Drosophila melanogaster: one gene and its partner. The protein of the gene in region 1 interacts with the protein of each later gene in a biochemical or structural test. Each region holds a gene or a part of one and is shown in the gene's direction. Other genes may lie near its edges.

Region 1 (9,901 bases):
CAGTCAGGCTGGGATCGATGGGCGATCCCGGCTTGGCTATTTCGCTGATACCAGCCACCTGTTTAAGTTCCGTTCTTAGCTTTTCCACCTCTGTTCTGTGCTCCATGCTGCTGGAAGTCACCTCCTCGCGGTTCTCGGGCTTCAGACCAGCGGGGGAATCCAGTTCCACCAGCTCCCCATCGCCGCTCGAGTCGAAGTTGTGATTGGAAGAGAAGTCCTCCTCCGGCTGCGGCTTGCTCTTGGCCGCCTCCTCATTAACCTCATTCTCCTCACTGCTCAGTGTGGAGTCTAGAATTATTTCCACGGTGCCATCGTCCTTGTGACTGGAGTCGCTCAAAAGCAGACCCGCCTCGTCCATGTCGTTGACTATCAGTATGTCCGCGTCCGGCCTCCCAGGTGGCGACTGCGTGGAGCTCATCTCACTCGGGGTGATGCACTCCCAATCCTCGCCAGGCAGAACGCAGCTGCCCAAACTGGACTCGAACACCAATCCCTCGTTGCACTTCACCGGAATCCAAACGTGCGAGTTGGAGGGCAGTTCCCGGCACTTGTAGAAGGCGTCGCAGCGGGTTTTGTGGGGGCGTGTCTTTTCGGGGCACGGCTTGCCTGCGTTAAGCCAGTGCGGAAATGGGAAAAGGAGTAATGTTCACATTAACATGGGAAAAGCACTTCGACTTTAGCGGAGATTTCCGAATAATAAGTTTTGGTTTTCCTACATGGTTTCATTTTGTACATATTTTTAAAGCAATGGAAGGTGCTATTCACTTTCTTGTAATAATTGTAACTATTCATTTCAAGGCATTTTTTATTTTTTAGGATACTTCAGTGAATTACGTTTATGAATTCATGAACACTTTCCTTTGAAAGTAGGAAAACCAAAACTGATTTAAATCTGGCACAATACACTTGCTGGTGGAGTTTACCTTCGGAAAAGTAAAACAAGCCCGCGACCAACGCGTAAACCAGCAGCTGCCTCATCGCGTATCCTTTTCGCGTATCCTCTTCGCGTAATCCTTCCCGACCGTAGTGCGAAGTCCGTAGCCGTAAGTTCCGATCTGCTCCGTTCGAAGCCCGCGATACGAATGACTGCGGATGCGGAGCGGTCGGCACATTAAATTTTGATAATTTTCACTTTGAGCCGCGTTCTCTGAAACTCTTGACAATGTGTGAAAAAGTCCGAAAGCGAACAAACAACATGGTATACGACGAATTTTCTTGGACTCTCCGCTCTCAGTGCTCGTATTTAAAACGAGTGCTAATAATTGTTTAAACAAATAGTTTTTGTGCTACTGGAAAGATCGGAGAATCAAGGAAATTTCACTTTTTGTGCGCAGTTTGTTTGTCTAAAAGTGCAATATAACGTGAAACTGGTAAATTTAGTAACCATAAAGTGAGTAATAGAGATAAGCTAATGAAGGCTTGAGGGATTGAATAAAAAATCACAGGTGTTACGGCATCAGCAAAGGTTTTATTATTCTCATGTGGTTTCTATTTAAATCATACATTTAAATCTTCCTCCTCGGTCTGGCAAATGAACCGGAAAGTATAGTGGCATGGGTAATCGTACATTTCCCCGTTGTATAGGAACACGCAGTTGAGGGTGTCCAACTGAGAGGGTCTCCCCGAGGCCCATTTCAAAAAGGTAGTCTGCTTGCCCGTGGGCATGGACAAGAATTTTCCCTCGTGGTCCAAGTCATTGATTCCCAGCCAGTAATGCGTGTCCTCCTTGAGATTCGCCTTGATGGCGGCTAGATCTGCCTCGTCCTTAATGTCGGCCAGGTGCCCTCCCATATTGCGACAAGTTTTTGAAGCAGTGGACCAGTTCTTCTCGGATACTTTCTCTATGTAATAGTACTTTGAGCCGATTTGCTCGAATCCGAGGTATTTTATTTTGGTTTTTACTTCAAGGACTGTTTTCTCCAGGGCCGACAGTATGCCTTCCATGCAATTCAGTCGTTCAGTAAAGTTCTGTTCGTTAACATTCAGTTTTCTGCCTTGGGCATCCAGTGCGACTTCAATGCTTAGTTGCTTATTCTGCAGAGCAGTCAGTTGGCCTTCCATCGTGTACTGTCTCACCAGGACCTCGTTAGCCTTGCTTGAATTATTGGAATTCGCCAGATTTTGGGAAATGGTCAGGTGATTTAACACGGGCGTAAGTACACCCAGACAGAATCCTCCACATTGACTAGGAGGGTCCTTTAAAGGACAAATCACATCGGATTCTGCCCAAGCTCCATACAAATTTAAAGCAAGAAGACCACATAGCAAAGCACTTGCGGATTTTAGCATTGTAAGCACTTTTTACTGCCAAACACTATGTTATTCGATGAACTGAATCCGCGCTTTTATATTTATTCAATAGCACCACAAAATTAAATAACATTTAAAGAAATTCAATGAGCAACGCAACTGAGTAATGAATATTCAGGGGGCTTCTAATTTATATGGAGTAATAAGCTTAGATTCCAATAAAATCAGAGGGGCCAGAAGTACTAGCTGGTGCATAACTTTTTGGCTAATTATTTACCTTTGTTTTGTTGTGACTACGGGCAATACGTTCTTATTTTTATTCCTAATTCCTATTCGCGGTCATTTTCAAATCTGGTTGGCTACTCCATTTTGAGCTTGTACGGCAACTCTGGTTGAACATGTAAGTTGGCAATATAGCGAGTACGCCAACCCAGTCTAGCGTGCATAACAAGCCTCGCCAATTGAATTCAACCTATCGATTCGCGCACTGAGTGGCCACATCAGTTGTATCGAAAAACATCGTCCAAAGTTGCAGCTCTAGAAATTGCTGCTTGCAAGCGAAGCAAAATAACAAATAAACAATTAGTGCAGCGATATCAACTGCTCGCGATTACGTGGACCAAAGCGAGGGCGGCAGCGCCAACTAGTGCAATAATCCAGCCATCAATTTTGGGGCCCGGGAAACCCAGTTAAGAATCCCGCACACACACTCGCACATGCAGCCGCACACAGGAGACAACAACCACACACACAGGCGCAAGTTGTAGGAGCACCAGAGGCAGAAGAAGAAGCAGCAGAAGGTAAGACACAGGTAGAAAGGAAAGGAAAACGGAGGAGGAGAAACCCCCAGAAATTGCTAAAAACAAAAAGGAACGCCTCTTGCATTGGAATTCGCCAGCGGTAGAGCGGCGGCAGCGAGTGCGAGCGGGACGGAAGTCGCGACCTTTGCCTCAATTACAAGCGCACACACACAAACACACACACGCCCACCCACAGAAGGAGTGGGAGTGGGAGAGGTAGTTACCTTCTTTCTGGCGTGCGTTACATGACCACGAATAAATATATATCTACACATATATATGTGTGTACTGTAGCATAGTGGCGCTGTGTGGGTGACTAAGCCCTGCGGTCGATAATTCAAGGAAGTTCAAGTTCCCCTCCCTCCACCACCCCTCCCCATCCATCGAGCGAGAAGTGCATTCTAGGCTTATTGACAGCTGTTGCTGATTACTTCGCTTGGCTCGCGCTCCGGCTGCCCCACCAGATAGCTTCCCTTTGTTCATCGGCCCACTGATAAGCGCTCGAATGATAGGCGAAATGAGCCGGAAAGTGCGTGCTAATTGATCGGAGAACTGTGTCCCATTCAGATCCATGCAAAGCCCTTCCAAATCGATTTCAATCCGGTCACAGAATCTGATGAGTAGACACTAATGGTAAACAACAAGCTGCACTTGCTCACGTGTTCTCGGTTAATTAATGTAGTGAAAACGCTAGCAAAAGAGAAATCGCGAACGGTACACAGCGAGAAAATCATGGTAGTTATCAGCATGCCGATAAGCAAAGCGAAGAAGTCATTAAAGCATTGAGATTTCAGTTCTGACGATATATAACAAAATAACTTATTTGTGGGCTTGTGTATCGCCATATCGGCCATGTTGCTTCCTGCACACAATCAATATGCAATAGCCATTCAACAATTGAAACCGAATTCACTTGCCGTTTTCTTTTTCGCGTTGAGCCGATGACTCACATGGCAACATTATTATACAATCTATTGTGTAGCGGGGTGTTTGCTATCAAAGTTATGGATGACCAGCAATCGGTGCTGAGTGTGTACGAAAAAGTACAGGGAAACACACACGCACACAGCCGTGGCAGTCGCAAATTATGGAGAAAATTAATAGGCGATAATACGGTGCTTCCCAGTAGTTTAAAGTCCACGAAATCAAGTGCACTTATCAGTGCATTTATATATTTATTTGGGGGAATTTCTATAGTAATACAAGTTTCTTTCAATAATTTAGAACTCTAGCCTCACTTAGTCAAAGAATATATTTTGGGATCAGAAACATTACTCAGTTTTTTAATAAACTGTTTACCCAGTTTGGTCATGATTAATTTCGCTTGAAATAGCATAATTTTTATCTTTCATATATGACCGAGTTGCACTGTACATACATTAGCGCCGATTTTACAGCTCACAATTTGTTCGAGCAGTTTATTTCACCAAAAAAGTGAAGGCCTATTCGCAAACAGTTTTGTTGCCATACTGTCGTTTACACACTATATAATACACAAAGCTATACAGGCCATATCTTATCTGCGGATAGTCGCTTTCATAATGATATAGAGCTGGCATTATCTGCCTTCTAAGATCAGGTGTATAAGTAGTCGAGAGCTTAAAGCGACTAAGGAAAACTGCATAACACCTAAAAAGTGCTTAGTAAATCACTCAGGGTTCCCATAAAGGCCTGTTGGTAATCTGTAAACCTAGCAAAAGTGTGTACAACACTTTTATTCGGATAGTTATTTCCACTCTATAAAAGCTTCCTGTTCAACAGCATTGTACATTTTTGGGTATTGATAAACCATTTACGTATGTAGACCGTGTTCCGGACTTATCTTATCAGTCCAGAACACGCAATTTCCCCCCATTCGATACTTTCCACCACCAATATTCAATAGCAGCGTGCTCAATACTGGCTTTCTCTTCACTCAAAGGGAGGAATATAAGGCGGAGGAGGAGGCGGAGCACCAGGAGCACTCACACACTCAGCCACTAAATGGCCGATGGAAATGGGCTGCCAGCGGGTGCAGCTTCCGGCGGCATGGAAGCCGGGCAGACAGTGAATGGAGCGGGATCCGCCAGCCCCACGCCCACCTCCAGCTCGGGGGCGGGGGCCAGTGGGAGTGCCAATCAAGGATATCATCAATTAAGCGTGACAAGTGAGCAAACAAAAGAAAGTGAAACATTCTGTTCAATCAATAATGGCCCCAAATCCTTTCAGTCGAGGAGGCTTCGCTGCGCAACAATGGCTTCCTCAAGCCAAATCCCTACGTGGAGCTCTTGATTGACAGCAAAAGCAAGCGGAAAACGGACCTGGTGAAGAACAGCTATTTGCCCAAGTGGAACGAGGAGTTCACAGTGCTGGTGAGTAGAAACAGTAATAAAAGTCAATTATTTGTAATATCCACGGGATCTATCGTCTCTAGATTACACCCAATTCAACGCTGCACTTCAAAGTGCTGGATCACTCCAGTTTCCGTAAAGATGCCATGCTTGGAGAGCGGATCATCAACCTGGCGCACATTCTGCAGCACTACAATGGGCGGTGCGAGTTCCTTGAGCTGACCATCGACCTGTTCGTCACCAGCAAGTCGGACAATCGCCAGACGAAGAGCGGCGAACTAGTGGCCATCCTCAATGGCCTCAAACTCGATATGAGCAAGCTGCAGATTCAGCCAGTGGCTGGCCAACAGAATGGCAATCCACCCGTCCAGGCGGTCAATCCGTCGGTGGTCAGTGATGCGGCCGCCGGACGAAGTTGCATGATTTACGGTGGAGTACGGGCACGGATGCGACTACGCTCGAGCAGTGGAAATAGCAACGGCGGAGAGACCCGCTCTCCTCTGCCGAATGGAGGTGGAGATCACAGGAGATCTACGCAGGCGCCCCCGGTGTGGGAACAGCAACAGCAGCAATCCCAGAATCAACAGCAGCCCCTGAGAATGGTCAATGGCAGTGGGGCGGCCGTGCCGCAGACAGCTCCGTATCCTCAGCAGCCACCAGCTCCCGCACTAGCTCGTCCTCTAACCCAAGTGTACGGAGCGCTGCCAGAGAATACACAACCAGCTGCTGTTTATTTGCCAGCTGGAGGAGGAGCAGCAGTAGGACCACCTGGAGTAGCAGGCCCACCAATTGAACAGCCAGGAGTTGGACTGCCCGTGAGCCAAAGCACAGATCCGCAACTGCAGACACAACCAGCGGATGATGAGCCGCTGCCTGCAGGGTGGGAAATCCGTCTGGACCAGTACGGTCGCAGATACTACGTAGATCACAATACACGATCCACATACTGGGAGAAACCGACACCGCTGCCCCCGGGCTGGGAGATCAGGAAGGATGGGCGCGGTCGAGTTTACTACGTAGACCACAACACAAGAAAAACTACCTGGCAGCGGCCGAACAGTGAGCGTCTGATGCACTTCCAGCACTGGCAGGGTCAGCGGGCCCACGTCGTGTCTCAAGGCAACCAGCGATACCTGTACTCCCAGCAGCAGCAGCAACCAACGGCGGTGACAGCCCAGGTGACGCAGGACGACGAGGATGCACTGGGTCCACTACCAGATGGCTGGGAGAAGAAGGTAAAGCCGTTTGTCTAGATTAGAAAAAGTATTTATTTTAACTCGTTCCTTTATTTACTTAATCCTTACGCAGATCCAATCGGACAACAGAGTGTACTTTGTTAACCACAAGAACCGAACCACCCAGTGGGAGGATCCACGCACGCAGGGCCAGGAGGTGAGCTTGATCAACGAGGGCCCGCTTCCACCCGGCTGGGAAATCCGCTATACAGCCGCCGGTGAGCGCTTCTTCGTAGATCACAACACGAGACGAACCACCTTCGAAGATCCTCGACCCGGTGCTCCGAAGGGCGCCAAGGGAGTGTACGGAGTGCCACGCGCCTACGAACGCAGCTTCCGCTGGAAGCTGTCGCAGTTCCGGTACTTGTGCCAGAGCAACGCTTTGCCATCGCACATCAAGATCACGGTGACGCGACAAACCCTGTTCGAGGATTCATACCACCAGATCATGCGTCTGCCAGCCTACGAACTGCGAAGGCGGCTCTATATCATATTCCGCGGCGAGGAGGGACTGGATTATGGTGGTGTATCTCGCGAGTGGTTCTTCTTGCTCTCCCACGAGGTTCTGAATCCCATGTACTGCTTGTTTGAGTACGCGAACAAGAACAACTACAGCCTGCAGATAAATCCCGCCTCGTACGTGAACCCCGATCACCTGCAGTACTTCAAGTTCATCGGTCGCTTTATTGCGATGGCCCTGTATCATGGAAGGTTTATCTACAGTGGATTCACAATGCCATTTTACAAGCGCATGCTGAACAAGAAGTTGACCATCAAGGACATCGAAACGATCGATCCGGAGTTCTACAACTCACTTATCTGGGTAAAAGATAACAACATCGATGAGTGTGGATTGGAGCTCTGGTTTAGCGTGGACTTCGAAGTGCTCGGTCAGATAATCCATCATGAGTTGAAGGAGAACGGGGAAAAGGAGCGCGTCACGGAGGAGAACAAGGAGGAGTACATCACCCTCATGACGGAGTGGCGGATGACACGGTATGCATTTTACTTGATAAACGACAATATGTTGTCAATATGGGTGTCATTTTTGACTCGGTATTAACTGATTCCTATTGCAGTGGCATTGAGCAGCAGACAAAGACGTTCCTGGAAGGCTTCAATGAGGTGGTGCCCCTGGAATGGCTCAAGTACTTTGACGAGCGCGAGCTGGAGCTTATTCTGTGCGGCATGCAGGACGTGGACGTGGAGGACTGGCAGCGCAACACCATCTACAGGCACTACAACCGCAACTCCAAGCAAGTTGTCTGGTTCTGGCAGGTGGGTTCCTTTGTGTTCTTTGTGCCCTTTCCATTCGCTAATCCGGATAATTGGCTCCACAGTTTGTTCGCGAGACGGATAACGAGAAGCGAGCTCGCCTGCTGCAGTTTGTGACGGGCACGTGTCGCGTGCCGGTCGGAGGATTCGCCGAGCTGATGGGCTCCAACGGGCCGCAGCGCTTCTGCATCGAGAAGGTGGGCAAGGAGACGTGGCTGCCGCGCTCGCACACCTGCTTCAATCGATTGGACCTGCCGCCGTACAAGAGCTACGATCAGCTGGTGGAGAAGCTGACCTTTGCCATCGAGGAGACTGAGGGCTTCTGCCAGGAATGAGTGGCAGTCGATTTGTGGTCGGTTTGTTGATTAATGTTTAATTCCAGTTAAGCGCCTGCTTTACCGTCCCCTCCCCCTTTCCATTTGACGACCACGTTGCGTTAAATAGTTACTGTTATTATTATTATTACATACGTATGTATTACTACTGTATACTGTAAACACGAAACACACACTTCTGTCTGTCTATTCCTATGTTCGCAACCGATATCACACGAGATATTTGTTAAAAGTGCACGAAACTTGAGAACAATCTATGTATGAATGTATTGAGAGCCTATTTTAGAGATATTTATAATTTGTTAGGCATAATTTATCCACTGCATAACTCTCCTGTGTAAATTTAAGACAAAGTTTGATTGATTCGCTTCTGTTGATATTTCTTACGACCATCTATCTTCAAATGTAATTGTCATACATTTCTTTGGATCCTTGTTTTACGCCGATAAATAAAACCACCTACCGTTTAGCTTCAGCTAAGCCTTTAAGAACTTAAGCACCGCCATTCCCAGAATATATTCAAATTTGAACTTGGGCTTGCTTAGGGCATCCATCCGTTTGGATCACATCAAACTGTCTAGCAATCGCAACTAAATGTTACGTTTTCGCCATAAGATTGCACTCTGATTGCTTCTAGTTCAATTGTACAACGAGCCCCGGCTTGCATGTTTTTAACCACAATTGGTGAATTTATATTGATACGCTCCACTGTAAATAGTTTACTCGACCGAATTCGAATTGTTGACGAGCTGAGTTTGGTGTACTGGCAAACTGTTTTAGCTGTTCAATTGTTTATCGAGCATACACAGAACTTTAAATAGAAACTATATTTTAAATATGTATATCCACACTAACGACGCAGACATCGTGAGAAGTGAGAACTTGAAACACCGCAAACAAACAAACAAAATACGTTAGGATTTTAAACGACAAACACGAGAATACACTTAAACCAATAATGAATTCAAATAGCAATAATTGTTAACAAAACTAAAGGCGATTCGTATATTAACTACGCTACACAAAAGTGCGGACTAAGACAAATCGGATGATTAGGAGGTGCGGCGTATATAGGGTTGATTGTGTACGAGTACATATTAAATATATATATATATATTAAATAGATTTTATTTAGTTTAATGCAATGTGTACTGTATTATATAAAATAAATGCAAAATTATTTAGTGATACACGGCCGATGGATGAAATACTTGATACTTGGCGTTGCTGTGTCGACATTTGCGGTTGCTTTTCGCTTAGTCGGCTGCCAAATCGGCGATGCGGCAATAAATGTAATTATTTTAAGCGCATTTTTGGCCGCCACTTGCATTTTAATGCCCCGCAATTAAAATCTATATCACATATGTAAAAATCGCATTTCCACACCAAACGAGTCTCGTTTCGGTCAGCCAGTGAAATGGCCACTGATAACATCGCCATCATCATCCCCGTCATCATTGCCATCATAACCACCAACATCACTATCGTTATCCTGGGCTGTCTAACCTACATTTTTGCAGCGCCTCCTGGTGGGCGGGCGCTCAAATTTAACAAGCTGCTCCATTATTTATTGCGGTTAAATTGCAAAAACACAGCAGTCAAAACAGGAAAACTACACAGCGTACAGGTGGCGATGCACTGAGAGGATTTTGCTGGTAGATCCTATCAAAATGGTG
Region 2 (5,924 bases), on another chromosome or scaffold:
TGTAAATGATATAGTACAGAAAAATTGGGATATGTTTTGAAAATTACTGGGAAATTCGCTGACCCAATCAAAGTATTTTTAGAATGATTTACGCGAGCAAATCAGTGAGCAGTGTGGACAATGGACTCGCCATAAACAAATAAGCAATGAAAAATATTTAAATATTGAAATAAAAAGTAACAGAAATAAATATAAATAATAAAAAATGAAATAATAAGGATAATTGCTTTCAACAATTATCTATAAATAATTTGAAACATTTTTTAGAATTGGCGACCAGCCATGCAAATGATTTGCTCCCCTTTTTCTGACTGATTTCACCATTTCCATAAACACAGGCGCCTCATATGCTAATTTTCCTTTGCGCAATCAAAAATTATACATCATTTTATACTACGCGCCTATCCATCCGGCTGTTTTCCCCCATTTCTCTCGTTTGTCATTAATCACGTTTAATATGCAATTCTATGCTGTAAAGAGGAAAATAATTGCAACAATAAAATAAATATAAACAACAGCGGGAGTGGCAACCCAAATCCGTTGTAATCTTCATATCCGGAGTGTCGTTGTCTGTGAATTCTGCAATTGGACTCTCCAGTTACACATTTTCCCCTCGGGGATCACTTTTTGCATCATCATTATGGATGGATGGAGCCTCTTTATAGAGAGTTTCTGTATAATGTGGAGTTCGTTTTTTAGTGGGGGGTTGGTTTGGTATATAGGAAGTGCGGGTTAAACGGGAGTCTGCCACTCAGTCACTTCCTTGTTTGACATTTTAATTGCAATGTTGATGGATTTCACTGTTGACACTTTCCTTTTTCACCCCATTAATGAATAATGAACGTTTAGTCTGCAAATTTACTAGCTAGCCAGGCCGCAAAGTTAAATTTGCCTTTCGTGCATACATACAGATATAGTAAATTAACAATAAGATTCCTAAAAGAACATTTTACTTAACAATTATGAAATACTTTCGGTTAAATGCCCTTTTAGCTTTCCCACTGATTTCTTTTGTGTTTCGGACCGTAGTAAATTGTCTGTAAAAAGTCGTGGCCAAGTTAAGTATCATAACTAGAACGTCTTCCGTTCAACACCTCATTAGGCGAACTTTTCAACAGAGGCCGAAAACGACTTTTAATTGTGCCCACTGGACATACACAACCCCTGAAATTTTTTTCTGGCGGGAAGCACAATTGTCCAGAGGGTGAACATGATAAATGCCTTAAATAATGTTCTTTTGCCACCAGAAAATATCCAAGACATGACCAAACTCTAGTGGAGCAATTAAGTGCCAGACCAACTGAAAATGTCATTTAACATTTGTCAGGTAAAAATAAAAGTAAAGCACTCAAATAAAAAACAGCAACAAGTTGCAGACTAATTAAATAATTGAAACATTTTACGTGGGAGTCGCAAAGACACAATGACAAAGAACTAAATGTGTGTGCAAACGAAAAGCCAAACAAATAAAGACATAAGAAAAACGATTCTACAATGTCGCAATTCGACTATGCCTGCTATACGGTGCCCGAGTGTTCCACGGATGATGATGATGATAATGACGATGAGCTGGGCAGTAATGTGACCCTGGAGAACAAGGATCATTCGGATTGCACCCTGGAATCGGATGCTACGACCACCACATCTTCACTGGAGCGTCATATGTATAGGAATCGGTATCGCTCTAATAGAAGTTTCGGACCACAGAGGGTTTCCATGCCCATTCTCAGATCCAGTCGATCCAGGGAGATGACGCCCCAGTTGGGCATGTATCATGAGGGACCGAATCGAGATCCCCAATGGGGTTACTTTGTACCCCTGTCGCCCAACTTCTTCTTTAGTCCACCGATGCAGAGGAGGCGTTATAGGTAGATTTACATTGTGTTTAGTACTTAAAACATATTTAGTTCTATTATTATCAAGTAAAACATACATTGAAAATTCTAATAAATTAAATTTAAATTTCCTTTCAGGGAAAAGGAAAACGATCGCAATCGTCGCGCTGTTAGTTATGGCGGTGACGCCACCTCCTCCCCCCATTCGGCCACCATACCCCGCGCCGCCCCCCGTCGGGTGGCCTTGATGAAGGATCCACCGCCACCGCCGCCACCCAAGCCGCAATTGGGTTCCAAAGCGGATTCTGTATCGCATTTGGCCAGCAAATATCCCCAATCCGAGTACAATCTCATACAGAAAATCGACTCGAACAGCACACTCACTGCTCCGGCGCAATATCAACCGCAGAATTTCTACGCTAATACTGGCACCATATCCTCTACGAATGGCTACGGATCGCTGTTATGTCACGCCAGTTCGACGACCAGTCCGCTGGCGGTCCGGAAGAGGGACAAACTGCTTCATCGCTTCAGCGATGCCGCCACCTTGGGCCGGAAGCTCAAGAAGAAGAAGAACACGAATCGCACCTGCAGATCCATGACGGAGGCCATTGAGATGCTGGCCGATCCCGTCATCGAAGATGAATTCTTTGTAAGTACAATGATTTATGCAAAGAAAATATACGTATTTCCATGGAATTAGAAACATAAAAATCTTTTGGAGCCTCTTAAAACAAAATAGAGTTTCTCAAACCATTTTTTGTCATAACATCATAGAACTTGATTGATATGTATTAAATATTTGGGTGTGGTTTTAAAATAGCTCGAGGTTCATCGTTCAAACCTTTTCATTCTTGGTTTTTTCCCCCAAACATCTGCCCCATTTCACAATTTACGCTTTTAAGGGGTGTATTTGTTTGGCTTAAGCCCCTCATTTCGTCTCATTTCACTTGGGCTCTGCTCAGCTCAGTCCAAGCTTTATCGCAATCACTTTTGTTCTTGTATTCTTCTCCGGCTGGAAACGCTATCCATTGGAAAATGTTCTCGTGTCCGATAGGCTCTTCAAATTCATTGAATTCATTTCAGTTTAGTTCGTATTTGAGCCTCGTCGCGATTGAAACGAAAAGAAATCCACACCAAAAATAAACGATTTTCGTAGGCGGAAGTGTTAGAAAGACAAACCTCAAACAGATAAGGTGGAAATAATAGGAAGTTGACAGATTGAAACTGAGAAGGGCCATTGAATTAAGTGGAGTGACAGAAGTGATAAAAGAAAGGGAAAATTTGAATATATTAAACAAGAAAAATGTGCACTTAGACAGAGGGATTTATATTTGGCCACATCTTTTCCACTTAGTTTTTAACTATAAATTTGGATATTATATTTATGATCCCTGTAAGATAACCTTGAAAGTATTTTCCGACGGCTGAACTCAATTCGCAATCATTAAGTGAAAAAGGGGCGTCAATAATACTATCAAAAGTTCAATAGACCGCACATTCATTGACCCAATCGGGGTACCTTTGAGTTTTTGCAATGTTTTGAGCTTGTAAATTGGTATTGGGGTCGATCAGGGCTAAGCCACAATTATTTGCCAAATCAGTCTTTAATTAACGAACTCAGAGTTGACAGATTAGCATGGCTCTCTTTCTCTCTATTCTCCATTCTGTCTCATCCATATGACAGCTCGGTTGACAGTTCAGGAAGACGAATGTGTCTAACAAAACAAGTGACTCGCAAACTGTGTCAATACTTTGGGTTCGAAAAACAATTTACCTTGCGCAAAGACGACGGCTCGAAAGGTGAACCCCGGCTAATTGGATTGGCAGTGCGTGCCTTCCAGCAAACAACAGAAAAGCAGAAAAAGTTGTTGCAATAAAATCAAACAATTGCAGTGGAAAATCGAACGTGCAGTGTGCCGAACGTGTTGGTCGCGTAAAACCCTTAAAAAATCGGTTATTTTCAATATAGTTTATAGGGTTTATCTCTTTTTTATTGGCCTCTCTCAGGCGTTTTTAAAAACACAAATGTTGCCTGCTTTTGTGCGCTGTTAAACAAGAACGCCATGAAAAATAATTCAACCATATCTATAGCATACTTTTACGCGGTCGAAAATTACATTTGAAAAAGAACAAAAAGTCTCTAAATTAACTCAACACCCTTGAAACACTAATCTGGTTTTATTTTTTTTTTTTTTATATATTTCCAAAGGAAAAAAATATAATTTTGCGTGATCTAATTTTACATGTAATCATAAAACATTCTATCGTCAGTCTAAAGACAGTGTAGATTTTATGTAAAATTAGCCAAGTGAACCTTAAAATTTTTGTTGTTTTTGTTGATTTATTTTATGGTTTTAGTTTGCAACAAATTGAATTTTTTAAAGAACAAAACATAAGTTTCTCACAAAAAAAAAATAATACTTTGGTTTCGACCGTGACAGGACTCGAACCTGCAATCTTCGGATCCGAAGTCCGACGCCTTATCCATTAGGCCACACGGTCGCTTGTTCCAAGCACGCTTAAACTCGAAAACATTTGATACGTGTGCAAGCAACCTACAGCACAAGGGTGGATTTTCTGTAGAGCAAACATTCTGTTATCGCGGGGTGCAAATACAAACGAACAAAAACGAAAATTAAATACAACAAAAATATGAAGCCCAGCACGCGACGTCGCAGTTTCAAAACGAAACCCCCCAAATCGAATGTATATAACCCACTCGTTCGCTATCGCCCGACAGCCTATGTCCGAAATGGAATTATTGGCGGCGCCGAGGGTCCCGGCTCGAGTGGAGTGTACCAAATCGCGGATAGGGTCTATACCACCAGCAAGATGTTTCTACGCGATGGCTATATGTACCCGCGTCAACCGGGTCAGACCATGGATCCCCGTTTCCCCCTCGAGTTGCACGAATTCCCTCAGCAATTCGGCGCCACTGGCCTGCAGTTGGTTAGTGCACCCAAGGTTCATATAGCCGGCGAATATCTGGCCAGTGAACAACAGCAGCAGCAGCAACAACAGCAGCAGCAGCATCAACAGGTGCAGGAGCAACAACAATTGGGCAGAAGAAAGGCTGCGGCAGCCGCCGAAATAAATTTGGCAAATCAGGTTTACTGGCTGGGCAAGCAAAAGACCAGATCCCGATCGCGTAGCAATAGTGTGGGCAATCGGAGCATAACCAGCTGCATGGGCGGCGGTGGAGGGGGTGGCGAAAAGGAAAGGGAACGCGGCGGGGATCGAGATCGCCCCTATATACGCAACGTTGACGATCTTCTCCAGGCACTGGGCAAAAGGGATGGGGGGGATAACAACAGCAATCTGCTCGAAACTGCATCGACGCACTCCTCATCGCAGCGAAGGCGCTTCAAGAAGGTGAGATACAGACTTACAAAGTGTGATAAATGCAACCAAATGCCCTCAAATCTCATTTTCATAAAATAAATAAAAAAAATTCTGGATACAAAAGAAAAAAGTTAATTTTACGACCGTGACAGGACTCGAACCTGCAATCTTCGGATCCGAAGTCCGACGCCTTATCCATTAGGCCACACGGTCAGTTGGCAACTCTGAAAAATATGACTAACATAAAGACGGGCTTTACAAATAATTTAGTTCACCGTTAACAGTTGCTAAATCGTTTTTTATCCGAATACCTCATTTGAGATTATAAATCTAGAACTCTACGTTAAAAACAGTAAATATAAAAATCTTTATGACAGGACTTAAAGTTGGTTATTTTACCCCTCAGATAGAATATATATATTTAAGGGAAATTCCTTGATTTCCTAATATTAAAATTCTTTACGCCATTGAATACCACCACCTCAGCCATCAATCACCGCATTGCATTGCTCTTGGGCAACATCGAAATTTGTCAACTCGCGTTGCAACACTTTCAATTGTCGCTGTGGCACCTTTTTTTTCCATTTGGCCACCTTAATTACATTCGTGGATGTATGTATGGAGGTAGTGTGGCTCGTTCCGCCAGGTCATCATCAGTCATCACTCGTGGCTTGTCTGCAGTGTCCAGAATGGAGGCAGTGAAGCCTACCGCCCCTGGGGTGCGTCTGCGCAAAAATTAAAATT

What was found. Proteins that work in one complex are often made in the same cells at the same time.
Region 2: the proteins of Su(dx) (region 1) and pyd form a complex in vitro, tested with the Drosophila melanogaster proteins (one study listed by BioGRID).

The regions. Positions count from the first base shown.
Region 1 is NT_033779.5:2,034,959-2,044,859, forward strand, and holds Su(dx) (suppressor of deltex), read left to right. Parts: upstream 1-2,755; 5' UTR 2,756-3,266; intron 3,267-3,569; exon of another isoform or gene 3,570-3,683; intron 3,684-4,774; exon of another isoform or gene 4,775-4,846; intron 4,847-4,971; 5' UTR 4,972-5,033; coding exon 5,034-5,196; intron 5,197-5,258; coding exon 5,259-5,401; intron 5,402-5,463; coding exon 5,464-6,615; intron 6,616-6,688; coding exon 6,689-7,611; intron 7,612-7,694; coding exon 7,695-7,893; intron 7,894-7,955; coding exon 7,956-8,225; 3' UTR 8,226-9,414; downstream 9,415-9,901. Other genes in the region: CG42296 (uncharacterized protein), read right to left, coding at 1-606, 924-978; lectin-22C, read right to left, coding at 1,498-2,289.
Region 2 is NT_033777.3:8,861,349-8,867,272, reverse strand, and holds the start of pyd (polychaetoid), read left to right. Parts: upstream 1-2,924; 5' UTR 2,925-3,031; intron 3,032-3,739; exon of another isoform or gene 3,740-3,771; intron 3,772-4,267; exon of another isoform or gene 4,268-4,279; 5' UTR 4,280-4,490; coding exon 4,491-5,210; intron 5,211-5,320; exon of another isoform or gene 5,321-5,393; intron 5,394-5,924.